Linked DNA regions of Stegostoma tigrinum. The protein of the gene in region 4 binds, or shares a complex with, the protein of the main gene of each other region. Links are inferred from orthologs where the notes say so. Each region holds a gene or a part of one and is shown on either strand. Other genes may lie near its edges. The genes, in order: tert, gar1, wrap53 and nhp2.

The links.
Region 1: nhp2 (region 4) and tert share a complex: the UniProt entries of both Homo sapiens proteins name them as parts of the telomerase holoenzyme complex. The link is inferred for Stegostoma tigrinum from reciprocal best matches to the Homo sapiens genes NHP2 and TERT.
Region 2: nhp2 (region 4) and gar1 share a complex: the UniProt entries of both Homo sapiens proteins name them as parts of the H/ACA small nucleolar ribonucleoprotein (H/ACA snoRNP) complex. The link is inferred for Stegostoma tigrinum from reciprocal best matches to the Homo sapiens genes NHP2 and GAR1.
Region 3: nhp2 (region 4) and wrap53 share a complex: the UniProt entries of both Homo sapiens proteins name them as parts of the telomerase holoenzyme complex. The link is inferred for Stegostoma tigrinum from reciprocal best matches to the Homo sapiens genes NHP2 and WRAP53.

Annotation. Positions count from the first base shown.
Region 1 is NC_081355.1:13,889,981-13,897,026, forward strand, and holds the start of tert (telomerase reverse transcriptase), read right to left. Parts: upstream 3,002-7,046; 5' UTR 2,991-3,001; coding exon 2,772-2,990; intron 1-2,771. UniProt on the Homo sapiens protein: Telomerase is a ribonucleoprotein enzyme essential for the replication of chromosome termini in most eukaryotes. Active in progenitor and cancer cells. Inactive, or very low activity, in normal somatic cells.
Region 2 is NC_081354.1:61,441,179-61,449,195, forward strand, and holds the start of gar1 (H/ACA ribonucleoprotein complex subunit 1), read left to right. Parts: upstream 1-5,010; 5' UTR 5,011-5,160; intron 5,161-5,267; 5' UTR 5,268-5,340; intron 5,341-8,017. UniProt on the Homo sapiens protein: Required for ribosome biogenesis and telomere maintenance. Part of the H/ACA small nucleolar ribonucleoprotein (H/ACA snoRNP) complex, which catalyzes pseudouridylation of rRNA.
Region 3 is NC_081398.1:3,819,515-3,827,034, forward strand, and holds the start of wrap53 (telomerase Cajal body protein 1), read right to left. Parts: upstream 3,005-7,520; 5' UTR 2,898-3,004; intron 2,469-2,897; exon of another isoform or gene 1-2,468. Other genes in the region: transmembrane protein 217-like, read left to right, coding at 5,785-6,366. UniProt on the Homo sapiens protein: RNA chaperone that plays a key role in telomere maintenance and RNA localization to Cajal bodies. Specifically recognizes and binds the Cajal body box (CAB box) present in both small Cajal body RNAs (scaRNAs) and telomerase RNA template component (TERC).
Region 4 is NC_081376.1:48,796,230-48,803,969, forward strand, and holds the start of nhp2 (H/ACA ribonucleoprotein complex subunit 2-like protein), read right to left. Parts: upstream 3,017-7,740; 5' UTR 2,789-3,016; coding exon 2,632-2,788; intron 1,255-2,631; coding exon 1,185-1,254; intron 1-1,184. UniProt on the Homo sapiens protein: Required for ribosome biogenesis and telomere maintenance. Part of the H/ACA small nucleolar ribonucleoprotein (H/ACA snoRNP) complex, which catalyzes pseudouridylation of rRNA.

The DNA.
Region 1 (7,046 bases), on a different chromosome or scaffold from region 4:
AGGCCCTTCGGCCCACGATTTTGTGCTGACCTATTATCCTTCTAAGATCATTCAATCCTGCATACCCTACATTTTACTATCCTCCATGTGCCTATCCAAGAGTCACTTAAAAGTCTCTAAAGTATTTGACTCCACTACCATTACCAGCAGCACATTCCCCACGCCCACCACTCTGTGTGAAGAACCTGCCCCTGATATCTCCCCTATACCTTCCTTCAATCACTTAAAATTATGCCCACTTGTAATAGGCATTTCTGCCCTGGGAAAAAGTCTCTGACTATCCACTCTATCTATGCCTCTCATCATCTTGTAAACCTCTGTCACCTCTCATCCTTCTTCACTCCAATGGAAAAAGCCCTAGCTCTCTCAACCTTTCCTCATAAGACCTGCCCTCCAGTCCAGGCAGCCTCCAGGTAAATTTCCTCTGCACCCTCTCTAAAGCTTCCACATCTTTCCTATAATGAGCTGACCAGAACCGAACACAATATTCCAAGTGTAGTCTAACCAGAGCTTTATAGAGCTGCAGCATAACATCAAGGCTCTTAAACTCAATTCCTCCTGTTCCTTGTTCATATGTATCTGTGGCATCTTGAATCTATATTGAATGCCATCTCCGAGTTGCAGTAATTCTCATTGTGGTGAACTGAAATGAGATTGCCAGCTAATTCTGGCGTAACCTCACCACCTGTTAAAAGCAGGACACACCTTCTTTAAATGCATCCACAGGATGAGGGTGTTGCTGGCTAGACCAGCATTTGTCCATTCTCAATTGTCCAGAGGGCAACTAAGAGTTACATGTAGGTAAGGACAAGTTTCCTTCCCTAAAAGTTGTTAGTGAACCAGATGGGTTTTTCCCTACAATTGACAATGGCTTCGTGGTCATCATCAGACTCTTAATTCCTATTTTTTTTAGAAATCAAATTCAAGTTCCACCATCTGTCATGGCAGGATTCAAACCCAGGTCTCCAGAACATTAGCCGAGTCTCTGGACTAGCAGTCCAGTAACAATACCACTAGGCCATGTCCTCCCCACCATCACCTGGTCAATCATCCTGCAGAAGGCTGGCATTGTTTAATCAAAAACAAATTTAGGTCAGAGATAGTAGGAACTGCCAATGAGAGAGAATCTGAGATAACATGGTGTGAAGCTGGATGAACACAGCAGACAAAACAGCATCAGAGGAGCAGGAAAGTTTGATGTTTCGGGTCTGAAGAAGGGTCCTGACCTGAAATGTCAAACAAATTTAGGTCACATGGCTTAGGTGTAGTGTGTGACTGGTACTTGGTATATGTTAGTAGATACAGTGGAGGTTTGGACCACCTGAAGTTCACTGAAGGTGATGTGGGAGATGAAGCAGGAGTGGAATCGTCAGGAGGTTGTGTAACAATGGCATAGATAAGAGGCAGCAAGAGGAGCTGAGACAGATGCAGGGATGGGCAAAGTGGAAATACCAGCTTTACTGACGTCTGGATGGGGGGGGGGAAGGAGGCAAGGCATAGTGGTACTATCACTGGACTATTAATCCCAAGACCCAGATAATGATTTGGGGGACCTGGGTTCAAATCCTGCCATGGCACATGTTGGAATTTGAATTCAATGAATATCTGGAATTAAGAATCTAATGATATCATGAATCCATTGTCGATTGTTGGGAAAAACCCCTTCTGGTTCACTAATATCCTTTAAGGAAGGAAAAGGCCATCCTTACCTGGTTTAGCCTATATGTGACTTCAGACCCCCAGCAACGTGGGCAATAAATGCTGCCTAGCCAGCGACACCCATATCCCACGAATGAATATGAAAAAATACTGAAAGCTCATCTTGGGTGAAATATAGACCCAAGGTTGCAATAGCCTCACACAGTCGCTGTGATAGGAGTAAAGCTACAGAAACAGAAAGGAAACTCAGCAGATCTGGTAGCATCTACAAAGAGAGAAACAGGGTTAATGTTTCGAGTGCAGGTGGTCCCTTGTCAAACGCTACTGTGGGGCTGAATTCCAGAGAGTCAAACTGGACTTGCAACAATAACTGTTCTTCCTCTCCCTCTCTCCACAGCTGGTGCCAGACTGGCTGGGTTTCTCCAGCAATTTCTGTTTCACATTTCCAGCACCTACAGTATTTTGCTTTGGTGACTTCGTTCCTACTTCAGCGACTGAGAGAAAGACAGGCCGACAGAGTTTCTCCAGCACTTCCTTGCTTTTTTTTAGTGTAGTTGGTGAATACAGAATGGAGATTGCAACGGAGACTTTAAAGGAAGGTTTTTGCTGACTTAATGTTTAAAGTGGTGGGGATTTCTGCTCAGCCTGGGTTGGACCGAACAGCCGAGACCACCTCTAACCTGGCGGGGGGGGGGGGGGGGGAGTGGAGAAGTGGGGGAGGTGGTGAGGAGTACAGCTGGAAACTGAGTGAGTTTTCACAGCATGCTGCCTAGAGACACGGGGTATGGGGGGGAATAGTGTCAACGTTAATCGCGCCAAATCCCCCTTTGACTCAACTTTTACTTTTGGGGAGGGTGTTAGAAAAACGTGAACGTGGTGCATACGAAATGCCTTTTTACCCTTAAGATTGCGCGCTGCGTAAATCCGGCGCTGAATTTCAGGAAGCCCTAGCGCAGAAACATGGCCTGGGATCGGGGGGGTTTTGCGCCGTTCCGAGCCTCTCCGGCTTGTTATTCCCCAAATGTGCCCCTGTACATAAAGCAACGGCACTTCGGCTCCGGAAGGTGCCGGGCGCTTTAGTGCTGCCGGGAGCTGTCTGCCTAGCCCCGTACCTGCTGAAAGGTGAGCGGCCGGCACACAGCCTTTGCCTCCCCGGGAACACACACGATGAGCTGGGAGATGAAGCGCCGGTAGTGCCCGCTGTCGCTGCTTTCCAGCAAAGCCGGCGGCGCGACTCCTGCCGCTTCGCTGATCTCCGCAACGAACTGCTGCAGGCGGCGCACGGAGGGATAGACGGAGGCCAACAGCCCGAACAGCCTGGCCTCCTCCATTGTCCACCCCTTTCTCACTGAGACTTCAGCAACCAACCCCCTTCTCATCGATCACAATCTGCTCGCACTTCCTCCCGCCCGACCCACAGCATCCAATCTCCTCCCACCACCCATCCTCTCATTGGATCCAGAAACTAGCACAGTGCAGGGGAGACCCCCTTGGCCCATCCAGTCTCTGCCGCCAAACGCTACCTGAAATCTACACTCGTCCCATTGCCTTCGATGTTATGACGTTTCAAATGCTCATCCAAAAGGTCGTGAGATTACACCCTTCAATTAACCTCCCACATTACCATCACGCTCTGGGTGATTAGTCTCTCCTCCTGAAAGTCCCCTCAAAACCTCCAGCCTTCACTCAAAATTACACACGCTCCCACCCCACCTTGTTACTGACACTTCACCTAAAGTGAACAACTGCTTTCTATTCGAGATAACAAAGTGTGGAGCCGGATGAACACAGCAGGCCAAGCAGCATCTTAGGAGCACAAAAGCTGACGTTTCGGTGCCTGTTCATGCCCTTTTACCCTCATGCACTTCTATCTTGTCCCCTCCCTCAATTTTTTTCTTCTTGAAAGTAAACACCATGAACCTATCCAGCCTTTCCTCACAGCTAAAGCACTCCATCCCGGGCAACCAAACAAACAAGGCCAGGAGTTATACAATTAAAAGTGTAGTGCTGTCCAACTGAGACACCCAGGAGTTCAGGAATATAATTCTTTGAAGTTTGCATCACATGTAACTTAAGAGGGCATTGAGTATGTTTGCCTTCATTGCTCAGACTTTTGAGTACAGAAGCTGGGATATGATTTTGAGGTTGTGTCGGACATTGGTGGGGTGTTTTCTGGAATATTGTGTCCAGTTCTGGACCCCCTGTTATAAGAAGGATATTACTAAGCTGCAGAGGGCACAGAAAAGGTTTACCAGGATGTTTCCGGGAATGGAGGGGTTGAATTATAAGGAGAGGCTGGATAGACTGGGACATTTTTCACCGGAGCATAGGAAATCACGGGGTAACCCTAAAGAAGTTTATAAAATCATGAGGGGTATAGATAAGGTGAAAGGCAGGTGTGTTTCCCTAGGGTGCGGGATTTCAAGACTTGGGCACATATTTTTAAAGTGAGAGGAGAAAGATTTAAATAAGACATGAGGGGTGACTTTTTTGCACAGAGTGGTTCACGTGTGGAATGAGCTTCCAGAGGAAGTGGTGGATGAGAGTACAGTTACAATGATTAAAAGACATTTAGATAGGAACATGAATGAGAAATGTTTGAAGGGATATGGGCCTAGCCCAGGCAGGTGGGACGAGTTTATTTTGGGAACATGGTGGGTGTGGACTGGTTGGACATGGTCTGTTTCCATGCTGTAAGCCTCTATGACTCTGTTCCGGTGAATCTCCTCTGCACCCCTCCAGTGCAAACATATCCATCCAATAGTGTGCTGACACAGTACTCCAGCAGTGGCCAAATCAAAGTTCTGTACAGCTCCAACTCAAAACTCTGTGTTCGTATATTCCATGCCTCAACTGATACAGTAAGTGTCCCACATCCCTTCTTAACAATCCCATTAATACGTCCTGCCACTTTCAGGGATCTGTAGACAAACACGCTCAAGATTCCTCTGAGCTTCCTAGCATCTAGCCAGTCTCGGAGTACTCCCTCATCTTATTCCTTCTTCCAAAGTGCATCGCCTCACATTTATCAGGGTCAAATTCCATCTGCCACTGTTCTACCGATCTGTCTATATCCTCCCAGAACCTAAGACCATCTTCCTTGCTGACAATTAACTGAATAATCTTTGTGGCATCTGCACATTTATCATCCTCTCCCTCCTTCCCCACATTTTCATCTTCATATATCACAAATAATAAGGGACCCAGCACTGATCACTGTGGTATGCCACTGGTTTGTCCCTACCTCTACCACCCCCACCCTGTCTCCTGCTAATAGGCCAATTTTGGATCAAACTAACCGAGTTACCCTTAATCACTCTCATATATTTATTTACCTGTTATGTCTCCGCACATTAGTATAAATAGTTAATAAATGTTCAACAGGTTGTGCCAGTAAGCTGTCTGCTCCCCATCTGTCTAATGCTGTCAGAACATGATCATGATATTAACACACTCCTGAATTTCCCTTTGGTTTCATTAATGACTCACTACTGGGAGTTGGAGCTCATTTGTATCACTCTTGATCTGAATCAATGGTTCCAAATTTAGGTTACACACCAGCCTTTCAGCACAATTAAAATCAGACTGCCGCACCAGTGCAGTACTGGGGCAGTGCTGCATACGCAAGATTGCATCCTTTTATGAAATGTTAAACCGAGGCTCTCTGCCTGCTCTAGTGGAAGTAAATGATTGCTTGCCATAATTTTGAAGAAAAAAGTTAGCTCAGTGTTCCAATCAAAATGTATCCTTCAATCAACATCGCAAAAACAGATCACCTGGTCATTTCCAGTTTCTGGGAGTGCAAATTGGCTGCTGCATATCACATATTGATGACTAAACTTCAAAAATATGTAATTTGTGATAAAAGTGCTTTGAGGTGCTCAGTGGCTGGGCAGAACACTCTATAAAATAAATTATTTTTCTTTGCAGGTGAAGAAAGTTTTCTTGACTTTCCTAATGGATTTATTAGTAACATTTATGGCCACTACTTTTGTCTGCCTCGCAGATAGAATCTCTCAGACTACTCTCATGAATCCCTATTATAATTTTAAATGCCCATCTCTCCTCAGCCTCCTCTTTTCTCCATCATGTTCAACCTGATATATTCTCTAAATTCTGTTATCCTTTTTGTAAGTCATTTATGTGCTTCTCAGTAACGTCATACTTATTTTGTAGCAAAAAGACTAGAACTGTTCATTATGCTATGAATGCAATTCAGAAATGGATCTGTACGAACTACTTGCTTTTTAAATTTTTCCCTCTGGAAATAAAATTTTGGTGATAGATTACCACCTAGGAGTTATGAGCAAATTTAGTTGCAGGTGGCCATGGCAACATCAGATTCTGTTTAATCTGATCCATTAAGTGTAACAGTAAATTTCCTAGTATCAGTTCAATGTCCTGGCCTAGAACTGTAATTTTGATAACATAATTATTAACATGCCAACTCAGTGTACATCCTTCCCTGCTGTCCCAAATTGTTTATTTTTTAATGTTTCCAAATTTTTTTAGCATGCACATTGTCAAAATGGAATACCTAGATAAGCAGATAAATCTGGTTCCGAAAGTTGATATTTAAAATATTCCTCTCAAATGCATATTCTATACAAATGAAAAAAAATGCCACAGCATGTTGATCTCAACATTAATTCAGACATAGTCACAAAGGGCCTTCTTTCATTAATATTAATATATTATATTAAGAGGTCTGCAAGGATTTATTGGTTTTCAAGTTAAAAAAATTTTCAAAATATGCAGTGAAAGAAAGTTTCAGATTTCACCTCATTAATAAGGAATGTCATTAATTTGTATTGCACACTAGTTTAAAGATGAAGAGCTTTAATTTGTGTATATTATTGGGGTGTTCAATCTTTCAACTATTCAAAATAATATACTGTAGTTTTAAGAATACACTGAGGCTGTGATGGGGATACAGTGTTCATTTAGACACCAGCGAAACTAGCACTAGTAGCAAACAGAAGCCAAAACTGGGAGACTGGCTAAACAAAATGACCCGAGTGCAGAATTTTTAAATCAGGATCTAAGTTGGGTTGTTGCAGAAAAGCCACAAGCAGTCTTTCTATTGGTCAAGAATCAGAAATACTTTATTATTAGTTGTGCTGACACAGTGCTCAGATGTGGACTGAATATTGCAAAACCTTTCCACAAAAGATGTATAAAAATACACTTCCCAGGGGCTAGCATTTATTGCCCATCCCCACTTGCCCTTGAGAAGGTGGTGGTGAGCTGCCTTTTTCAACTGCTGGAGTCCATGTTCTGTAGGTAGACCCACAATGTCACTAGGGAGTTCCAAGATTTTGACCCATTATCCATGAAGGATCAGCAATATATTTCCAAGTCAGGATAGTGAGTGGCTTGGAGGGGAA
Region 2 (8,017 bases), on a different chromosome or scaffold from region 4:
TCTAAGGATGCCTGACCTGAAGAAGTTACCCTCCGGAGAAACCTCAGGGGATCTCTCTCCCACTGCAACTCTCTCGTAATCTCTTCGGCCTTGAAACTACTCGACCACGTCCTGAAGCAAACCAGGTACTACAGCCACATCACCTTCCTCAGCACCTGCCTACAGAACCAGATCATCCCCAATGGACTACAGTCCACATTCAAGCCTTCCCAATTTTGCCCCAGCCGTGAGAATATCTACATTCAGAACATTGAGACCCTTCAGAAGCGTTTCTCCCTGCGAGTCCTGAAACAGACACTCGCAGCCATACGCCGGCATCTCCAGGCACTGAAATCCAGCCTACTCCAGCTCAGAGCCTCTCTCTCCCAGACCTGCAAAGGACCTCTCCTGTTTTTTATTCTTCGTAGGATCCACAACCTGAACTCACAATTCTACTCAGCTTCATTAGCCACTAAAAACCGTAAGCACAGCAAACTCACTGGCCCCTGCCACCTAAAATGGGATTCCTCCACCTCCCAAATCCCCAGCCCTACCCGGACCTTCCCCACAATGTGCCCACTGACATTGGCCACGACGCCACTGTCGGAATACCCACTGATGACGTCACATCCGCCACCACCGGGAACACCACTTCCGGGACAGCAAACACCATCGCTGCTGTAGCCACCGCCTCCACTTCCGAAACCAATACCACAGACATTACCGACACCGCTACTGCCACCACCTACCCGGCTCTGCCCATTGCCGACGCCGCTCCATCCATGACGGATGTGGACGCAACTCCGCCCACCACTAACGACGACACAACTCTGCCCACTGCTGATGCTCATGGAGCTCCGCCTACAGCCGAGGCCGGTGCAACTCCGCCCACCAGTGACGCCGACGCAACCCCGCCCACAGCCGATGCCGACGCAACCCCGCCCACAGCCGATGCCGACGGAACCCCGCCCACGGCTGACGCCGACGGAACCCCGCCCACAGCTGACGACCTCATCGCTCCGCCCACAGCCTCCACAGCCAGCAACCCCAGAGAAGACAGCCACACTGAGCCCTGCCGAATCTTCACTATGCCCCCAGACTTCCCTCTGACTGAGGTCGAAGGGTCAGTCCTAAGCAAGGGGCTCACCTTTGTCCCCCTACAACTACACATCAATGAATACCTGTCGCGTCTGGATATTGAGCAGTTTTTCCGCCGCCTTTGCCTCCACGCTTATTTCTTTAACCGTGAGCCCAACCCTCCCTCTACTGACCCCTTCTCCCGCCTCCAACACAAGTCCTCCTCCCGGACAACACCCCCAGGCCTACTACCCTCCCTCGACCTCTTCATCTCTAACTGCCGTCGAGACATTAACCGCCTCAACCTCTCCACCCCTCTCACCCACTCCAACCTCTCCCCCGCAGAACAGGCAGCCCTCCGCTCCAACCCCAACCTCACCATCAAAGCTGCAGATAAGGGAGGTGCAGTTGTAGTATGGCGCACTGACCTCTACATCGATGAGGCCAGACGCCAACTTTCCGATACCTCCTCCTACCGCTCCCTGGATCATGACCCCACCCCCGAAAACCAAACCATCATCTCCCAAACCATCCACAACTTCATCACCTCAGGTGATCTCCCACCCACAGCCTCCAACCTCATCATTCCCCAGCCCCGCACCGCCCGCTTCTATCTCCTTCCCAAAATCCACAAACCTGCCTGCCCTGGTCGACCCATTGTCTCCGCCTGCTCCTGCTCCACCGAACTCATCTCCACCTATCTGGACTTCATTTTCTCCCCCTTGGTCTAGGAACTCCCCACCTATGCCCGTGATGCGACCCACATCCTCCACCTCCCCCAGAACTTCCAATTCCCCGGTCCCTAACACCTCATTTTCACCATGGACGTCCAGTCCCTATACATCTGCATTCCCCATGCAGATGGCCTAAAGGCCCTCCGCTTCTTCCTGTCCCGCAGACCCAACCAGTCCCCCTCCACCAACACCCTCATCCGCCTGGCTGAACTCATCCTCACCCTCAACAACTTCTCTTTCCACTCCTCCCACTTCCTGCAGAAAAAAGGGGTGGATATGGGCCTCCGCATGGGCCCAAGCTTTGCCTGCCTCTTTGTAAGTTACATGGAACAATACCTCTTCTGTAGCTACGCTGGCTCTAAACCCCACTTCTTCCTCCGGTACATTGATGACTGTATCGGTGCCGCCTCATGCTCCCACGAGGAGCTCAAACAGTTCATCCACTTCACCAACACGTTCCACACCAACCTTAAGTTCACCTGGACTATCTCTAAAACCTCCCTCACCTTCCTGGACCTCTCAGTCTCCATCTCAGGCAACCAGCTTGTAACTGATGTCCATTTCAAGCCCACTGACTCCCACAGCAACCTAGAATACACCTCCTCCCACCCACCCTCCTGCAAACATTCCACCCCCTATTCCCAATTCCTTCGCCTCTGCCGCATCTGCTCCCAGGATGAGGCATTCCACTCCCGTACATCTCAGATGTCCTTGTTCTTCAAGGACCACAACATCCACCCCGCAGTGGTTGAGAACGCCCTCGACCGTGTCTCCTGCTTTTCCCACAACTCATTCCTCACACCCCGTCCCCGTAATAACCATCAAACCAGAATCCCTCTAGTCCTCACGTACCACCCCACCAACCTCTGGATACAATGCATCATCCGCCGACACTTCCACCATCTGCAATCCGACCCCACCACCTACCTCGTCCTCCCTACCCTTGTCTGCCTTCTGGAGGGACCACTGTCTCCGCGACTCCCTTGTGCGCTCCACACTCCCCTCCAACACCACCACACCCAGCACTTCTCCCTGCAACCGCAGGAAGTGCTACTCTTGCCCCCACACCTCCTCCCTCACCCCCATCCCAGGCCCAAGATGACTTTCCACATCAAGCAAAGGTTCACCTGCACATCTGCCAATGTGGTATACTGTATCCATTGTACCTGGTGTGGCTTCTTCTACATTGGGAAAACCAAGTGGAGGCTTGGGGACTGCTTTGCAGAACATTGCTCGGTTTGCAATAAACACCTGCACCTCCCAGTTGCGAACCATTTCAACTCCCCCTCCCATTCCTCAGATGACATGTCCATCCTGGGCCTCCTGCAGTGCCATAACGATGCCACCCGAAGGTTGCAGGAACAGCAACTCATATTCCGCTTGGGAACCCTGCAGCCCAATGGTATCAATGTGAACTTCACCAGCTTCAAAATCTCCCCCTCCCCCTACCACATCTGAAAACCAGCGAAATTCATCCCCGCCTCCCTGACCTGTCCTTCCTCCCACCTATCCTCTCCTCCCACCTCAAGCCCCACCCCCATCTCTGACCTACTAACCTCATCCCGCCCCCTTGACCTGTCCGTCCTCCCCGGACTGACCTATCTCCTCCCTACATCCCCACCCACACTCATCTTTACTGGCGCCATCCCCACCCCTTTAACTTGTCTGTCTCCTCTCCACCTATCTTCTCCTTCATTGACAGTATGCAGAGATGGGCTGAGAAATGGCAGATAGAGTTCAACCTGGATAAATGCAAAGTGATGCATTTTGGAAGGTCGACCTTAAATGCTGAATATAGGATTAAAGGCAGGATTCTCGGCAGTGTGGAGGAACAGCAGGATCTTGGTGTTCAAGTGCATAGCTCCCTCAAAGTTGCCACCCAAGTGGATAAGGTTGTTAAGAAAGCATATGGTGTTTTGGCTTTCATTAACAGAGGGATTGAGTTTAAGAGCCGTGAGGTTTTGCTGCAAGTCTACAAAACCCTGGTGAGACCACACATGGAATATTGTGTCCAGTTCTGGTCGCACTATTATAGGAAAGATGTGGAGGCTTTGGAGAGGGTGCAAAGGAGGTTTACCAGGATGCTGCCTGGACTGGAGGGCTTGTCTTACGAGGAGGGTTGACTGAGCTTGGACTTTTCTCTCTGGAGAGAAGGAGGAAGAGAGGTGACCTGACCAAGGTGTACAAGGTAATGAGAGGCATGGATAGAATCGATAGCCAGAGACTTTTCCCCAGGGCAGGACTGACTGCCACGAGGGGTCATAGTTTTAAGGTGTTTGGAGGGAGGTATAGAGGAGACGTCAGAGGGAGGTTCTTCACCCAGAGGGTTGTGAGCGCATGGAATAGTTTACCAGTGGTAGTTGTGGAAGCGGAGTCATTAGTGACATTTAAGCGACTGCTGGATGTGCACATGGGCGGCAGTGAATAGAGGGGAATGTAGGTTAGGTTATTTTATTTTTGGATTAGGATTATTCCAAGGCACAACATCGTGGTCCGAAGGGCCTGTACTGTGCTGTACTTTTCTATGTTCTATGTTCCCCTATCCATCTTCTGTGTGCCTCCCCCTCTCTCCCTATTTATTTCAGAATCCCCTTCCCCTTCCCCATTTCTGAAGAAGGGTCTAGGCCCAAAACGTCAGCTTTTGTGCTCCTGAGATGCTGCTTGGTCTGCTGTGTTCATCCAGCTCTACACATTGTTATCCTGGATTCTCCAGCATCAACAGTTCCTATTATCTCTCATCACCAATAACCTCCTCACTGATAGCCTGGCCTCAGCCATGGTCATGCAGCTCCAAACTAGGTTTTGGCCCATACAGGGTCAAAAGAAGCGAACTCCAGAAGTGAGCATTATGAAACTTAGCAAAGAACTAGCGGAGAAGATTTCCATGAGGTCAGGAATGGGATACTCAACATCTTGCTCTGATAAGGGTGCATTGGTTTCGCACATTCAATCCTGAGCACATTTGACATTCTTTGTTCTCGCCCATATACGTGTAATGTTCTGCAAGTATTCAGCTCAAAGTTTCCCTGCAAAGAATTTCTCAGCAGTTTGAGGGAGGCTCTTCAACGTAGCTATATGACATGAGCCACCAGGAACTGCCAAACCAAAGGTGCCCAGTTGTAATTCCCAATTGTTTCGCTGCTGGTGCAATGCTCGTACTCTCTCGCTAGAGGGTGCGCCACCGCGCCGTGCGCTTGCGAAGAGGGCACGCAGACCGGTAACTGTAATACGGCAGGTCACGGATGTTAAGAAGCGTCCCAAAACTGACGTAAAGTTCCGGTCTCTGTAATGCACTCATTGAAAACCCTGGAACAATGTCGAGGGCGGATCCGGGTTTGAAATGTCATAGGCGTCCTTGAAGTTTGTAAAGGTAAAATAATTTCAAGGAATTGTAATACAGAGGCAGTAGTAGGTTCTTACAGGACTCAAAAAGCGGGTTAAGTTTAGGATTGTGTGTGTGTTTTTTGTTCCCTGCAGCCGGGATTGAGTGCACGTGGCTGAAGAAGGAGCGCGTGCTCCGGGTAACATTCTATCTCTGGGCCAGGGTTCGGTGAGTGAGTGGAGCCGCGCGCTGCCCGGGGGACCACGTTGCACGGAGTGGCTCTTGCACCGGGAGTGCATCGGATCTTTGGGCTCCTTCCTGTGACAGGCATGGCGACTGCTCAGAGGGTCGACCCAGAAACTGGCTTTCACGACAAGCTATGTGCTCCTACATTTCCATTGTGCTCACCCCACACCCCCCGCCATTTAATTTTGCGCTGCAGGCTTTGCAATAGTGACATTCAAAAGAATTGAATTCAAGGCAATGGCTTCATATGTTTCAGAGATAATGGGAACTGCAGATGCTGGAGATTCCAAGATAATAAAATGTGAGGCTGGATGAACACAGCAGGCCAAGCGGCATCTCAGGAGCACAAAAGCTGACGTTTCGGGCCTAGACCCTTCATCAGAGAGGGGGATGGGGGGAGGGAACTGGAATAAATAGGGAGAGAGGGGGAGGCGGACCGAAGATGGAGAGAAAAGAAGATAGGTGGAGAGAGTATAGGTGGGGAGGTAGGGAGGGGATAGGTCAGTCCAGGGAAGACGGACAGGTCAAGGAGGTGGGATGAGGTTAGTAGGTAGCTGGGGGTGCGGCTTGGGGTGGGAGGAAGGGATGGGTGAGAGGAAGAACCGGTTAGGGAGGCAGAGACAGGTTGGACTGGTTTTGGGATGCAGTGGGTGGGGGGGGGGAAGAGCTGGGCTGGTTGTGTGGTGCAGTGGGGGGAGGGGATGAACTGGGCTGGTTTAGGGATGCAGTGGGGGAAGGGGAGATTTTGAAACTGGTGAAGTCCACATTGATACCATATGGCTGCAGGGTTCCCAGGCGGAATATGAGTTGCTGTTCCTGCAACCTTCGGGTGGCATCATTGTGGCAGTGCAGGAGGCCCATGATGGACATGTCATCAAGAGAATGGGAGGGGGAGTGGAAATGGTTTGCGACTGGGAGGTGCAGTTGTTTGTTGCGAACTGAGCGGAGGTGTTCTGCAAAGCGGTCCCCAAGCCTCCGCTTGGTTTCCCCAATGTAGAGGAAGCCGCACCGGGTACAGTGGATGCAGTATACCACATTGGCAGATGTGCAGGTGAACCTCTGCTTAATGTGGAATGTCATCTTGGGGCCTGGGATGGGGGTGAGGGAGGAGGTGTGGGGACAAGTGTAGCATTTCCTGCGGTTGCAGGGGAAGGTGCCGGGTGTGGTGGGGTTGGAGGGCAGTGTGGAGCGAACAAGGGAGTCACGGAGAGAGTGGTCTCTCCGGAAAGCAGACAGGGGAGGGGATGGAAAAATGTCTTGGGTGGTGGGGTCGGATTGTAAATGGCGGAAGTGTCGGAGGATAATGCGTTGTATCCGGAGGTTGGTAGGGTGGTGTGTGAGAAAGAGGGGGATCCTCTTGTGGCGGGGGCGGGGTGTGAGGGATGTGTCACGGGAGATGCGGGAGACGCGGTCAAGGGCGTTCTCAATCACCGTGGGGGGAAAGTTGCGGTCCTTAAAGAACTTGGACATCTGGGATGTGCGGGAGTGGAATGTCTTATCGTGGGAGCAGATGCGGCGGAGGCGGAGGAATTGGGAATAGGGGATGGAATTTTTGCAGGAGGGTGGGTGGGAGGAGGTGTATTCTAGGTAGCTGTGGGAGTCGGTGGGCTTGAAATGGACATCAGTTACAAGCTGGTTGCCTGAGATGGAGACTGAGAGGTCCAGGAAGGTGAGGGATGTGCTGGAGATGGCCCAGGTGAACTGAAGGTTGGGGTGGAAGGTGTTGGTGAAGTGGATGAACTGTTCGAGCTCCTCTGGGGAGCAAGAGGCGGCGCCGATACAGTCATCAATGTACCGGAGGAAGAGGTGGGGTTTGGGGCCTGTGTAGGTGCGGAAGATGGACTGTTCCACATAACCTACAAAGAGGCAGGCATAGCTGGGGCCCATGCGGGTGCCCATGGCCACCCCCTTAGTCTGTAGGAAGTGGGAGGAGTCAAAAGAGAAGTTGTTGAGTGTGAGGACGAGTTCCGCTAGGCGGATGAGAGTGTCGGTGGAGGGGGCCTGGTCGGGCCTGCGGGACAGGAAGAAGCGGAGGGCCTTGAGTTCTTTAAGGACCGCAACTTTCCCCCCACGGTGATTGAGAACGCCCTTGACCGCGTCTCCCGCATCTCCCGCGACACATCCCTCACACCCCGCCCCCGCCACAACCGCCCCAAGAGGATCCCCCTCGTTCTCACACACCACCCTACCAACCTCCGGATACAACGCATTATCCTCCGACACTTCCGCCATTTACAATCCGACCCCGCCACCCAAGACATTTTTCCATCCCCTCCCCTGTCTGCTTTCCGGAGAGACCACTCTCTCCGTGACTCCCTTGTTCGCTCCACACTGCCCTCCAACCCCACCACACCCGGCACCTTCCCCTGCGACCGCAGGAAATGCAACACTTGTCCCCACACCTCCTCCCTCACCCCCATCCCAGGCCCCAAGATGACATTCCACATTAAGCAGAGGTTCACCTGCACATCTGCCAATGTGGTATACTGCATCCACTGTACCCGGTGCGGCTTCCTCTACATTGGGGAAACCAAGCGGAGGCTTGGGGACCGCTTTGCAGAACACCTCCGCTCAGTTCGCAACAAACAACTGCACCTCCCAGTCGCAAACCATTTCCACTCCCCCTCCCATTCTCTTGATGACATGTCCATCATGGGCC
Region 3 (7,520 bases), on a different chromosome or scaffold from region 4:
TGCAAGGCTGCAATTGTTTCAAAATGAGTGTTTTATGTTGCATTGTATGGAGTTTTCTTGCCAATTTAACTGAACTCTGTTGGGGTCTAGTTATATGGATGCCTGAGCAGCCAAATCACAGCACCCTCTGTGGTCATGGATGCAAACTCTGCATCCCCAGATTCAATTCAGAAAGTACAAGTCTCCTCACATCCATCCCAGGCCTTTTTATGTTCTGAGGAAGGGTCTAAGGAGCTGAAACACTAACTCTGATTTCTCTCCATCCATTCTGCCAGACTTGCTCAGCTTTTCCAACAAGATCTGTTTTTATTTCCTTTTAAGGGATTATTTGTTTGATGTGCTGTTTCTATTGTGGAATGTGAAACCTCAAAGCCTTAACTAATGTCTCTTTGCAGGTTCAGAGGTATGTTTTGGTGAAATAATGAAGGCACATGATCATAACGTTTTCTACACATCTTGAGGGGTATAGTTAAGGTGAATTGCAGGTGTCTTTTCCCTATTTTGGGAGATTTCATATGTTGAAGGCAACAGGGGAAATATTTAAAAGGATGCAAAAGGCAGCTTTATTAAAAAAATATATACAGTGTGGCTCATATGTGGAATGAATTTCAGAGGAAGTGGTTGATGCAGGTACAGTTACATCATTCAAAAGACATTTCGATTAGTACATTAAAAAGAAAGGGTTTGGAAGGATATAGACCAAGGCAGGCAGGTGGGACTAGTTTAGTTTGGGATTATAGTCTGCACAGACTGGTTGGACTGAAGGGTCTGTTTCTATGGTCTTTGACTTCACAATTGGAATTCAGGTTATTTGGGGATGGGGAGGGAAAAGGGGACAAGGGATAAAGTCAAATCAAAACTTTAATGTATGGCAGAGCAGGCTTGATGGACCAAATTACAAACTAATTACCCTACTATTTTATGGTCACTCTCAAAGAAGTCCAATAACCCATAAAATACATAACATATTTCAAAGAAAAGTCACAGGACTCAAGACATTAACTGTTTCTCTCCCCACTAATACTACCAGACTTGCAAAATTTACTCCCTTTGGGACAGAGTTGCATAGTTTTACCACTCTCTGGGTAAAAATGTTTCTCCCAAGTTCCCCATTGGATTTCCTAGTGACTACCTTACATTGCAGCACAAAAGACAAAATTGAATTTTAACCAAAAAAAAATGAGAGTTTATGGCAAGGTTTATGTAGAGGGAAAGAGGCTGGGATCACCTAAAATAAAGTGCTAACTGTTAACCTTCTACAAGGAAAATATTGGATCCATGGGCACATAGCTCGAGTCTGTCTGCAACAAATGACCCTAAACTTCCTGTCGTCTTCATCTGGCGAAGGGGGTGGACTCTGAAAGCTTGTGACTTCAAATAAACCTGTTGAACTATAACCTGGTGTTGTGCGATTTCTGCCTTTATTCTTAGGCTGTGACCCCCTAGTTCTGGACTTCAACATCACGAACATTCTTCCTGCATCCAGCCTGTCGAATTCCATCACAATTTTGTGTTTCTTTGGGAACACCTCCTCCCCCAACCTTCATTCTTCTAAATTCCAGCAAGTGCAAGCCCTGTCAATCCAGTCTTTCTTCATTCATTAATGCCTCCATTCCGAGAATCAGTCTGGTGAACCTTCGCCGGACTTCCTCAACAGCAAAAGCATCCTTCATCAGACCAAAACTGCTCATAATTCTCAAGGTGTGGCCTCACTTAGGTCCTATATAACTGCAGCAAGACATGCCTACTCCAACATTCAAATCAAGTTCAATAATTTTAGAACAAAGAAAATTACAGTACAGGAACAGGTCCTTCGGCCCTCCAAGTCTGCACCGACATGCTGCCCGTCACAACTAAAACCCCCTATCCTTCCAGAGACCTTATCCCTCTATCCTATTCATATATTTGTAAAGACACCCTTTAAGAGTCACTATAGTTTCTTCTTTCACTATCACCCCCAGCAGAGTTCCAGGCACACTGTAAAAAAAAATGCCTCGTAAATCACCTTTAAACCTTGCCCCTCGCACCTTCAACCCCTGGCCCCAGGTAACTGACTCATCCACCTTGGGAAATGGCTTATGACTGTCCAGTCTGTCCATGCCCTTCACAATCTTGTAGACCTCTAGAGATAATGGGAAGTGCAGATGCTGGAGAATCCAAGATAACAAAGTGTGAAGCTGGATGAATACAGCAGGCCAAGCAGCATCTCAGGGGAACAAAGGCTGACATTTCAGGCCTAGACTTCTATCAGGTTTCCCCTCAACCACCGACATTCCAGTGCAAAAGACCCAAGTTTCTCCAACCTCTTCTCATAGCTCAGGCCCACCATGCCAGGCAACATGCTGGTAAATCTTTCTGTAGCTTCTCCAAAGTCACCACATCCTTCTGTTAGTGTGGCAACCAAAACTGAACGCAATATTCCAAAATAACAGAGTGTGAAGCTGGATGAACACAGCAGGCCAAGCAACAACGTTCCAAAAGCAGCCAAACTTAAGGTTCTATAAAGCTGCACCACTACCGGCAAATTTTTAAACTCAATGCCCCAGCTAGAGAAGGCAAGCGTGCTTTGCTGACTACCTTTTCCACCCACGTTGCCACTTTCAGTGACCTGTATACCTATACACCCAGATCCCACTGCCTAGTAGTACTCTTAAAGGTTCTGCCCTTAAGACCTGAGCATCTTGCACCTTCCCCTAACCCGAAACCACACCAGGCCTTGTCATCACACAGCCTACTACCACAAACTATCCCACTGTCAGCCATTAATTGTCCCCATTAGCAGCTATAGATCCTCCCAGGCTGATCACGACCCAGTCCCTCCACTCCGATCTCCTTCTCTAACATATATATCAACCCTTTCCAAGCTACAATGAGTTTTGAAGAAAAAGCCACTGGACCTGAAACGTTAATTCTGGGTTTTTTTTCCCCCTCTCTATCCACAGACGCTGCTGAGTCTCTCCAGCAGTTTCTGAGCCGCATCAGGGCTGCCACGCAGGCGTAGTGGCGACCAACCAGCCCGTCCTCCGGGAGATGGCGGTTGGCTGCGCGGCCAGATCACGTGCGAGCAGACGCGGTGGGATGGGGGCCGTTGGGCAGCGGCGCGGGAAATTCAAAACACGTCACTGAGGCGGGGGCGGGGCCGCTGCCATGGCAACCGAACCGGTGGGGGGGAACGTGAGTACTGAAAATGGCGCTAGGCCCCAAAGAGCTCAAGAGGCCAAAAATAAACGGCGAGTCTTGCGGCCGGCGGCAATTGGTACGCTGAGAGGCTTGGATACCATCGGACCGATGATGGTCCGGGGAACTGGTGAACCGATTGTGGGTCAGGTACAGGGGGAAATGGGGGACGTGGATAAATGGTGGTTGGGCCAATAGTGCTTTGGGTGGACCAACGATAGCTGTTGGAATACAGGTGTACCAATGGTGTTTTGGATACAAATGGACCAATGATGTTTTGGGGATGCAGATGAACCAATAGCAGTCTGGGGATACAAATAGACCGCTGGGGGCTTGTGGACAAACATGGACAAATGGTGGATATGGGGTACAGAGGGGCCAATGGTGAATTGGGGATACAGGTGGACCACTGATGGTTGAGCGCAAAATGACCAATGCAAGTTAGACTAATGGGGCTTTAGAGACCGGTAGACCAATGGTGTTTGAGCTCAGGTAACCACAACTGGTCAGACAAATAGTGCTTTTGGGAAGTGTGAGCCAGTGGTAGTTTGGGGGGTACAGGTGGACCAATGGTGGTTGCGGACAGAAGGACCAATAGTGCTTTTGGGACAGGTAAACCAGTGGTGGTTTGGGTGCAGGTCAGCCAATGGTGGTTGAGCATTTGTGGACTGATGCCATTTGGACCAATAGTGGGTTTGGGTGCACAGATGGGCAATGGTGGTTTAGGGGTATAAGTGGACCAGTGATGATTTGAGGGCATGGGTGGACCAATGGTAGTTGGACCAATGATGCTTTTGAAACAGGTAGATTAATAATGGCTTTGGGTCACAGATGGACCAATAAATGCTTTGTGCGTAGGTGGACCAATGGTATTTTGACCAATGATGACTTGGGTACAAGTAGACTAATGGTAATTTGGACACATGGACCAATGTAGTTTGGGCACAGGTGAACCAATGGTAGTTGGATAATGATGGTTTGACACAGGTGTTATGAGCGTTGCTAATCAAATTGATTGATTTGACCTGGATGGTGTGAAGTTTTGAGGGTTGTTGGAGCTGCATCTTTTTCAGATAATTGGAGAGTGTTCCTTTGGACTTCTGACTTGTGCCCTGAATTAGCTACAGGCACAGAGGGATGTCACGGGAGGGATATTTGAATTTTTACAGTGTGGAGCTGGAGGAACACAGAAGGTCAGGCAGCATCAGAGGAGCAGGAAAGTTGACGTTTCGGTTCAGGACCCTTCATCAATCCTGATGATCCAGAATGTTGACTTTCCTCCTCCTCTGATGCTGCCTGAGCTGCTGTGTTCCTCCAGCTCCACGCTGTATTGACTTTGACTCCAGCATCTGCAGTTCTTGTTATATCCTACTTGAATCTTTGCAAGTTTGAGGGATATCTGGATTCTCATCAATTTTGGAGATCTTATAAATTTAAGAGAATTTTGGTCTATATACAAATTTCAGAGTTGTGCAAGAATGAATAATTGTTTTGAAAGAATTTTGAGAATACCTGGACTCTTCACAGTTTGGAGGATGCATGGAATTATATTTTTGATACGTCTGGTCCAACAGTAGTTACAAGGATATCTGGATTTCATAATTTAAATCATGTCAGGGTTATTAATAGTTTGGAGGATGATAGGATTTTTGGAGGAGTTTGGAAACTTGCTTTTAGTGTACTGGGCCTGTGAAAAATGTGGGATCTGTGGATTTATGTTTCTATTTATTCATCTGAGGATGTCTGGAATATTAGCTTTCAGATATATCTTCAGTATTCATAGTTTGGGAGATAGAATTTTTTTTTTAGATTTGCTGGACCTTCACAATTTTTTTTCAGTTTGTGAATTGTCTGACTATTAAAGCATTGAGTTGCAGACATACATTGTGCCACTGTAGGCTGTATGCAAAACAGGAAAAAAAAGTCTCTGAAAGGACACATTTCATAGCTGAAAGCTATATCACGTTTGTTCCTCCTAAATATTGCTTCCCCTCAGTTCAGGAATAATTAGAAGGCAAACCAGCCCATTCAACACAATTGGTTTGTGTTGCTGATTTATCCTCCATTACGGCCTCTTTTGTCTTATCCTACAGACATGCCCTTCTATTGTGTTCTCCTTCATGTACTCCTCTGACTTCCTATTTGGCTGAACTCCCCTTTTGTGGGATCAAGTTCCATATCTTCCCCACTCACTGGGTAAAGAGGTTTCTCCTAACGCATCTCAATCGTCTCGAGGAAGGAGAAGAGCCCCCTACTCCCCAAGTTCCACCAATGGCCCAAGTGGCTGATTGTGGAAGGCCCATTGCCTGCCTGTTCAAACTTTGTTGAATCCTAATATTGTAAACAACTATTTATAGCAAATTGAGTCAGTTTGGGGTAGCTACATGTCATTGTCCTATAGGGAGTATTTAAAAGGAGGAGTTTTACAGAGTTTGCACCAGATTGGACTTGTTCTAGATCTGGAGAAATTAGGAAAGAGGAATCAACTGTACCAATGTTTGTTGTAAAATTTGTTTCAGTGAACTGTTTATCTTGCCTCACGATCCAATTTGCTGAAAAAAAGAAGCCCCTCAACTTTCAGAAGGATGTACAGCACCAAGAAACGAAATGCTGAACATTCGTAGCTTGCGCAACAGATTGAGAAAACTGAAATCTGGAAATTTGTGTGGGTTGAACGCCAAAGAAGGAAGTATTGTGGCTGGACTGTTCATGTTGATGGTATCCATCATGCAGCTCATTTTTGAAGCGGGGCATTTTCGTTACTTGAGGCCTCAGGTTATTCCTAGCTCCGTGAATCAAATTTCCCGACTTCAAATATACAGCATCATATCAATTATCTTTGTCTGTCTCACTCTGATCGCAATTATTCTCTTTTTCGTATCTATCTGGAAGGAGGTGTTCTGGGGAGTGGCAGGCTACATCATTTGGATATTCTTATATGAGATTTTACAGATTAGCCTCCTGAGTTTGTCACTGCCTGATCAAAATTGGTTCCCAAGCAGTGTGCGTGTGTTGGAATGGTTTGGGCTCATCACACGTCTGCTTTCGCACATTTTCTGGATGATTTTTGTGACTTCACATGCAATCGAATTGTACAAAACCATCAGGAACACTGATGATCCCATGAAAACCAAGAGGAAGACTCCACCAAAGCTCAAATTTGCAAAAGTCAAGGAACTGGGTGTGTAATCATGCCCCACAGTTTGTGGTGTCAGGTGACATTCCTTCTTCGACCAAAGAAACGTTCTCCAAGCCATACTGGGCTTCCTCCAGACTGTCGTCCCACAGACAGTGAAGGCCAGGTCAGCTCCTTTCAGTTGCAAGCTGACACAATGGCATCCTTACAGCAAAGTTAAACCTGCAATACCCACAAATGTCCAGGATTTTAACCGATGGTGGATTATTGGGATGCCTATTAAATATGTTAAAATACGTGTAAATATGGATGTATATTGTATATTTTACAGCACTCTCCAGACCGATAAGGGTACAATATATTTTTGATTTTTTAAAAATACTGTACTGATCGAAACATTTGTATATAACTCCAGTTGATTCTAAAGACGAATTGTAACCCTTTTTTAAAAATTAAGTTGTTACAATTAATAATTCTTATTAAAAAGTTAACATTTTGTTTAGTTCTGTTTCGTTTGTAAATGGAGGATAAGCTCCTAGGTTGCCCAGTTGGTAATACCAGCAAAGGAGTAACTGCTGTGCAATAACATTTTCCATTATAATAAGAGCAGCATTTCAGATCAATGAGTCATAAATAGTGTAATAGAGTGGGAAAGCAAAGAACTTATGAAGCATATTAATTCAGTCTGATTCTAGGCACCACGCTTTATGAGCAATTTCAAGGCCTTAGAGAAGATGTTTGTGATGTGGAAAGACTGAACAAGCTGGTCTCGTTCTCCTGAGAACGGGGAAGGTTCAGGAGATATTGAATAGAGGTGTTTGAAATCATGGATGTGGGTAGAAAAATTGTTTGCGATGCACGAAATCACAGGACATCGAATAGAGATAATTGTGAATGGAAACAGAGCGCAGATAATTTTTACCTTTAGTGCAGCAAGCTATGGTGATCTGAAACACACTGCCTGAAAGGGCAGTAGAAGTAAATTCAGTAGCAGCTTTGAAAAGAGAATTCAGTGACCGCTTAAAGGGAAAAGTTGCAGGATCATGCCAAGAAAGAGGAGGGAAGGGCAATTAACTTGATGGCTCTTTTAAAGACTGAGTAGAGAAAACATGCGACAAAGAGATTGAATAGGGAGGTGTGAATTACTGAGACTGGGTGATTGGCAGTGGATAAATATGTCTGCTGTCAAGACAGGATCAAATTAAAT
Region 4 (7,740 bases):
GGTTCACTGTGAAAACCCCAGTAATATTAATGAATAAAATATTCACAGCAAAACAAATAACTGCAGATGCTTGAGATCTGAAATAAAAATTGTTGGAGAAACTCAGCAGGTCTATTAGCATGCAGAGTTAATGTTATGCATCCAGTAAGCGTTCGTCAGAACTGATTTACAGTGTTGAGTACTGGGAGAAGAGATGGAACTCAGTAATATTAATCCCATTGAATGCAAATGGGAACTGGTTAGATAATTCCACATTGCCATCTGGTTGCCAGCATTGTATCAATAATAGAACAGCTTGGCTACAGGCATGGCAATTTCAATAGGATAAACCTGCAGCACTACAATTAGGATGTCAGGGATAGTGGTGATATCGTTGAATTAAATCTAAATCACTGGACTGATAATTCAATCACCACAGGAGTTGGATCTTTTAAGTCTCTTAATAAATCTAAAGGATAAAATGACAAGCTGGTTTCAGTAATCATGATCATATAATGACTGACATTTATTAAATTCTTTCTGGCTGCCTACTGTCCCTCGAGGAAGGAAAACAATCCCCCTACCAGCCTCACTTACAGGCAACACATAGCAATGCATTTGACTCTCAATTGCTGTCTGAAATAGCTAAACAATTCACTCAATTGGATTAGTCCACTAAAACTTTATCACCTCCATAATTGGAATCTTTTGTTCACATCATACCGAGGTGTGAACCATACACTACTATTTAAAAAAACCCAAAAGAACTGAGGATGATGGAAATCAGAAAGAAACTGCTGGAAAATCTCAGCAGGTCTGGCAGCATGAGTGGAGAGAAATCCCAGTTAATGTTTCAGGTCCAATGACCCTTCTTAAGAATTGAGTATTGTCAGTTTTGTTTCTGTCACACAGCCAAACTGACAGCTCAGTTCTGAGGCCAACAGATTAGATGTACAAGCATCGACTAAACTGAATCCTCTCATTTTCTTCCTGGGGCTCGTGGGTGGTTGTCACTTGCTGCAATCCCAAAACAAAATATCTCAGGTAGCGAACTGAAATGGTGGATGAAAAATGACAAATTCACATCTGTTACTTTGTAGGACAATGTGTTAGTAGAGAGCTTGCATTCAAAGAATTACGAATTAAAAATGTATAACAATAATTCCTCTTTGTGCTGCATCAGAGAACAGATACATTATACTCACCCTTTCTCCCCCTTGTTGATGAATTTCTGAACTTCCTTTACTCCTCGGCGAATCTGTTTCACTTTTGCTGCTGCAGACAAAAATGGAAATTTACAATGAGATGTTGTGAAATATTTTGAAGTTTCCAAGCAATGTGTAACAACCATATTCTCCCCACCACTTACTTTGTCAAATACAAATCTTTATCTCAACAAAATCAGAAGCTGCTCCAGAAAAAAAACTGTACAACCAAATTAAAGAGATTATTAATAGAAAATAAAAGTTGGAAACATTCTGCAGATCAAGCAGCATCTGACAAGAAACAGAGGTAATGTTTCAGATCTATGAACTATTATCAGAACTGGAAAAAGTTGAAGACTTAATAGATTTTAAGCAAGCACCTCCAGGAAAAGAGAAAGCAGAGAAGAACAAAAGGGAAGGTCTGAGATTGGGATGGAATGGGGGGGGGGGGGCATTAAATAATAATGTAATATGCAAGGCAAAAGTGGCAGGAAGTATTTAATTCTTTCACAGAATGTGGGTGTCGCTAACCAGGTTAGCTTTTGTTGTCCATTCCTAATTTCCCTTGATGGAATGTTCTGCCATGTTATTGCAGAGGACAGTGAAGTGTCAACCACACAGTTATTGGTCTGGAATCACTGCACGTAAATATGGCAGACTCTCTTCCCTGAAGGACATTTCCGAACCAGATGGATTTTGAATAGGAGTTCTAGAGACACCAGTTGAGGTTAGCTTTTAAATCTAGCTTTATTCATAAAATTCCACCAGCTGCCACGGTGGGATCTGAATCCATGTTTCCAGAGCATTAGCCTCTAGCTAAAGTCCAATAACATTACCAAAATGCCACCACTTCCTCTAGATGTGACAAACAAAGGAACAAAAGATGAACCTGGAGAATGTGCATGTGGCAATAGCAAAACCTTGGCAAGAGTTGCATGCAGTAATTACATTCTGAAATCACTGAAGTCAATGTTAGGAAGTCTAGAACATAAGATGTTTTTTACTAAACTGTAGCCGTTTCAAACTATACCAAAACTGACTAGTGACAGGCGTTTGATTTAATGCAGAAATCAAGATCAGACGGGGAAGGGGGGGAAGAGATGGGGACGTGTGAGGGAAATAGAGACAAGGACAGGAAGAAGAGATAGACACAAAGAGGAAGATAAAGGAAAGTGTAGAGCTGTGAAAGCTTTCAGAGCCGAGTTACACCTGGATTTGGATTATCTGAAAGAGAGGAATGTGCACGGTGGGTATGGGGAAAGAGTGGCACTGGGCGCATTGCAGCCTCAAAGGACCAGCACAGACACTACTGGCCGAATTACCTTCACACGTAGTGCAACTACCCTGAGCTAACAGTCCTACGGCAGAGGCATGAAGAGTTTTGTTCATGGGCCTGGGGTCGATGATGCAGACCTTCCCCCACACCGCTTCCCCGCCAAATCTTTACCTTTCTTCACGCATTTGTACAGCTTCTTGCTCAGTTTCCTAGAGGCCAGCGGCTGCGCGATGTCGTTCACATTGGCCACCAACTCCTCGTAGGTTTTCTCCGTCTCCTCGTACTGAGGCCTGTCGGCCTTTTCCTTCTTCACTTTGGGGGACTTCATTCTCTCCCAGTCTCCGCTGCAGCGCCGTCACCACATGGCAACGGCAGCCCACTTCCGGGAAGTGACGTGAGGCTGAAGCCCGCCCCATTCCTGGCCGTCAGGCTGGGCTGCCATGGCAACGACAGATAACAAGGTGTAGAGTTGGGTGAACACAGCAGGCCCAGCAGCATCAGAGGCGCAGGAAGGCCGACGTTTCGGGCCTAGACCCTTCAGAAAAGGGCCGAAACGTCAGCTTTCCTGCTGCTAAGATGTTGCTTGGCCTGCTGTGTTCATCCAGCTCTACACCTTGTTATCTCAGAATCTGCAGGTCCTACGATCTCCTGGCAACGACAGCCCACTTCCGGACAGTGACGTCATACAGACCCCGCCCCTACTGGTCTGCCGATCAAACCGGCAACGGTCACCGTGGCAACGGGATACCTTAACGCTCTCAGGATGGAAATTAACCGAGTTTACAGAGGCCAGTTGTTTTCCTTAGAGCTGAGAAAATTGATTACGATGCATATTATTACTATGGACATAGGATAGGAAGAAACTTTGCCTTTGGTGGTGGGATTAATGACCAGGGACATCGATTTGAGGAACGGCGCAGGAGGTTTGGAGGAGATGTGAGGAAATGAAAACGAAGGGAAATCTGGAACTCACTGTCTGTAAGCGTGGAAACGGCTGACACCTTCATAATATTGAAAAAGAAGTTAGATGTGAACTTGCGAGGCCGGGGCATAAGTTGCTGTGGACCAAGAGCTGGAAAATGAGACTGGGATAGTTAGGGATAACACTGTGTGGAGCTGGAAGAGCACAGTAGGCCGGGCAGCATTAGAGCAGGAAAGTTGACGTTTTGGGTCGGAACCCTTCTTCAGAAATGAGAAGCGGGGAAAAGAGACAATAGACAATAGGTGCAGGAGTAGGCCATTCGGCCCATCGAGCCAGCACCACCATCATTATGATCATGGCTGATCATCTACAATCAGTATCCTGTTCCTGCCTTATCCCCATAACCCTTGATTCCAAATCGACACCTTCCCCCAAGCGCCACCCATAAACATTGACACTTTCCCCCAGGATACCCCCTGTAAACATTGACACTTTCCCCCAGGCTACCCCCTGTAAACACTGACACTTTCCCCCAGGCACTCACTTCTAAACAGCGACCCCTTCACCCATGCACCCACCTGTAAACTCTGACACTTACCCCATGCACCCCCTGTGAACACTAACACTTTACCCCAGGAGCCCACAGTAAACACTGACACACTCCCCCAGGCACCCCCTTCGAAACAGTATCCCCTTCCCCCAGGTCCCACCATGTAAACACTGATGCCTACCCCCAGGTCCACCCATGTAAACACTGACACCTACCAGAGCTGGGAAATAAAAAGCAATACTGCAGTCAGTGTGGAGCTGGGGGAACACAGCAGGCCAAGCAGCATCAGAGGAGCAAGTAAATAAGAGTAAAGAACAATACAGCACAGGAACAGGCCCTTCGGCCCTCCAAGCCTGTGCCACCACATTTTGCCTTTCCATGCTAAAACCGTCTTCACTTACAGAATCCGTATCCCTCTATTCCCTTCCTATTCATTTTTCATCCAGGTGCTGTTGTCTGCTTCCACCATCTCCTCTGGCAGCACGTTGCAGGCATTCACCACCTTTGTGGGAAAAACTTACCTCGCACATCTCTTTTAAGCTCCCCCCCTCCCACCTTGAATCTGTGCCCCCTAGTAATTGACCCCTGCATCCTTGAAAAAATGCCTCATATATGCCACTCTATCCATGCCATTCACAATCTTATAAACCTCTGTCATGTCACCCCTCAACCTCCTGCATTCCAGTGAAAACAAACGCAGCCTAGCCAACATTTGTTCACAGCCAAAATCCCCTACAGTAGGCAACATCCTGGTTAACCATTTCTGTATTCTTTCCAAAGCATCCACATCCTTCTGGCAGTATAGTGACCAGCACTGTGCGCAATATTCCAAGTGTGGCCTAACTAAAGTTCTATAAAGCTGCAGCATAACTTGTCTATCCTTATACTCAGTGACCCATTCAATGAAGGCAAGCATGCCATGAGCCTTTTTTAGTACCTTATGTACCTGAGCTGCCATCTTCAGTGATCTGTGGACTTGTACACCCAGAACACTCTGCATACCAATACTCCTCAGGATTCTGCCATTCGCTGTGTATTTTCCGCCTGTGCTTGACCCTCTAAAATGCATTACCTCACATTTGTCCAGATTAAACCCCATCTGCCATTTTTTTGCCCATGCCTCCAACTAATCTATATACTGCTGTATCCTCTGACAATCCTCCTCACTATCCACAAATCCATCAATCTTTGTACCATCCACAAACTTACTCGTTAGACTCGCTACATTTTCCTCCAAATCATTTATGTAGATAACAAGCGGACGTCCTAGCACTGATCCCCATGGAACATCACTAGTCACACCTTCCATTCTGAAAAACATCCTTCCACCACTGCCGTCTATCTCCAAGAACTAAGCCAGTTCTGTATCTGTCTTGAGAGCTCTCCCGTGATATCATGTGACTTCACCATTTGTACCAGTCCATCATGAGGGCCTTGTCAAAGGTTTTACTATAGTCCATGTAGACAACATCAATCCACTTTTTCCTCATCAATTACCTTTGTCACTTCCTCAAAAAACTCGGTCAGATTAGTGAGACATGATTTCTTGCATTCAAAACAATGCTGTCTATCGCTAATAAATCCACTCGCTTCTAAATGCTTCTAGATCTTGTCCCTAAGAATCTTTTCCAATAATTTCCCTATCACCAACATGAAAGTCACTGGCCTGTAATTTCCAAGAATATCCCTGCTACCTTTCCTAAACAATGGGACAACATTGGCTATTCAGCAGGGATAATAGGAACTGCAGATACTGGAAAATCCGAAATAACAAAGTATGGAGCTGGATGAACACAGCAGGCCAAGCAGCAACTTAGGAGCACAAAAGCTGACACTTCGGGCCTGGACCCTTCATCACCCCATCCCCCTTTTCTGATGAAGGGTCTAGGCCCAAAACGTCAGCCATTGGCTATTCTGCAGTCCTCTGGGACCTCACCTGTGGCCAAAGAGGATACAAAGATGTCTGTCAATGATCCAGTAAGTTGTTCTCTTGCCTTCCTCAATATTCTGAGATAGATCCCATTAAGACCCAGGGACCTATCTACCTTAATACATTTTAAGATGCACAACACCTTGTTCCTTTTTAACAGCAACTTGGCTTAGAAACTTGACACTCCCTTCCCTGAGAGAGATAATAGGAACTGCAGATGCTGGAGAATCTGAGATAACAAGGTGTGGAGCTGGATGAACACAGCAGGCCAAGCAGCATCATAGGAGCAGGAAAGCTGACGTTTCAGGCCTATCATCATTCACCAGTTTCTTCTCTTTGGTGAATACCGACACAAAGTATTCATTTAGGACTACACCTACCTCTTCTGACTCCACACACAGGTTCCCTCCTTCTTCCTTGAGTGGGTTAACCTTCCCCTGGCTACCCGCTTGCTTTATATATTTATTAAGCCTTGGGATCCTCCTTAATCCTGCTTACTGATGACATTTCATGACCCCTTTTAGCCCTTCTGATTCCTTGTTTAAGTTCTTTCCTTATATACTTCAAGGGCTTCATCAGTTCCATCCTCCTAGACTTTATGTATGACTCCTGTTTCTTTCTGACATTATAACATCCCTGGTCATCCAAGGTTCATGTAACTTGCAATACCTACCCTGCACTCTTACAGGACCGTGCTACTCCTGAACTCTTATCAACTACCGTTTGAAATACTCCCACGTGTCCAATGTGGATTTACCCTCAAACAGCTGCCTCCAATCAACATTCTCCAGTTCCTGCCTAATATTGTTGTAGATTGTCTTCCCCCAACTTAACACCTTCACCCAAGGACTGCTGTTATTGCTATTCACTTCTCTGCTATCTCTTAGAGTAGTTAGGTGCTTGTTTCTGATCAGTACAGACCCAATAGGCCAAAGGGTCTTTTCTATGCTATAAAGCTCTGTGGTTCTTTGGCATTCATGAGAAAGCTCTCTGTGAAAGTACTTTATGACATTGATTACAGGTTACATTTATTATGTGTTTTGAAAATGTTTTCATTAAAGAGTGCATTGTGGCTCTTTTTAACAATTCTCTAAGAGAGACAAGTGTTATGAAATGAGAATAGAATGTAGTTTTTTCAATAATGGCAGCTGGTGATGGAATGGAGTTCAGCAGGGGACTGTGTTGGGACCACAAATATTCATATTTTCCATCAACGATCTGAACGAAGGAACTGAGGGCATTATTACTAATTTTGCAGATGATACAAAGATTGGTGGAGGGACATGTAATAGAGTAGACTATTTTCTAAATGGGAAAGGCTTCAGAAATCTGGAGCACAAAAGGACTTGGGAGTCCAAGTTCAAAATTCTCTTGAGGTCAACATGCAGGTTCTGTTGGCCATTACGAAGGCAAATACAATGTTAGCATTCATTTCAAGAGATACAAGAGCAGAAATGTACTGCTGAGGGTCTAGTCAGACCACATTTGGAATATTGAGGTTTTGGGTACCATATCTAAGGATGTCTGTACTAACCTTGAGAGGAGGTCCAGAGGAGTTTTACAAGAATACTCCTGGGGATGAAGGACTTATCACACGAAGACTCTGGGTCAGTAATCAATGGAGTTTAGGATGAAGGGAACTCTGATTAAAAGTTACAGAATACTGAAAGGCCTGGATAGAGTGGACATGGAGAAGATGTTTCCACAAGTATGTTTTCCACAAGAGACTAGGACCTGAGAGCACAGACTGAGTGAAGGCATAACCCTGAGATGAGGAAGAATTTCTTCAGCCAGAGGGAAGCTAGTCTGTGGAAGCCAAGTGATTGAGTATATTTAAGAGAGAGATACATAGGTTCTTGATTGTAAAGGGCCAAGCGT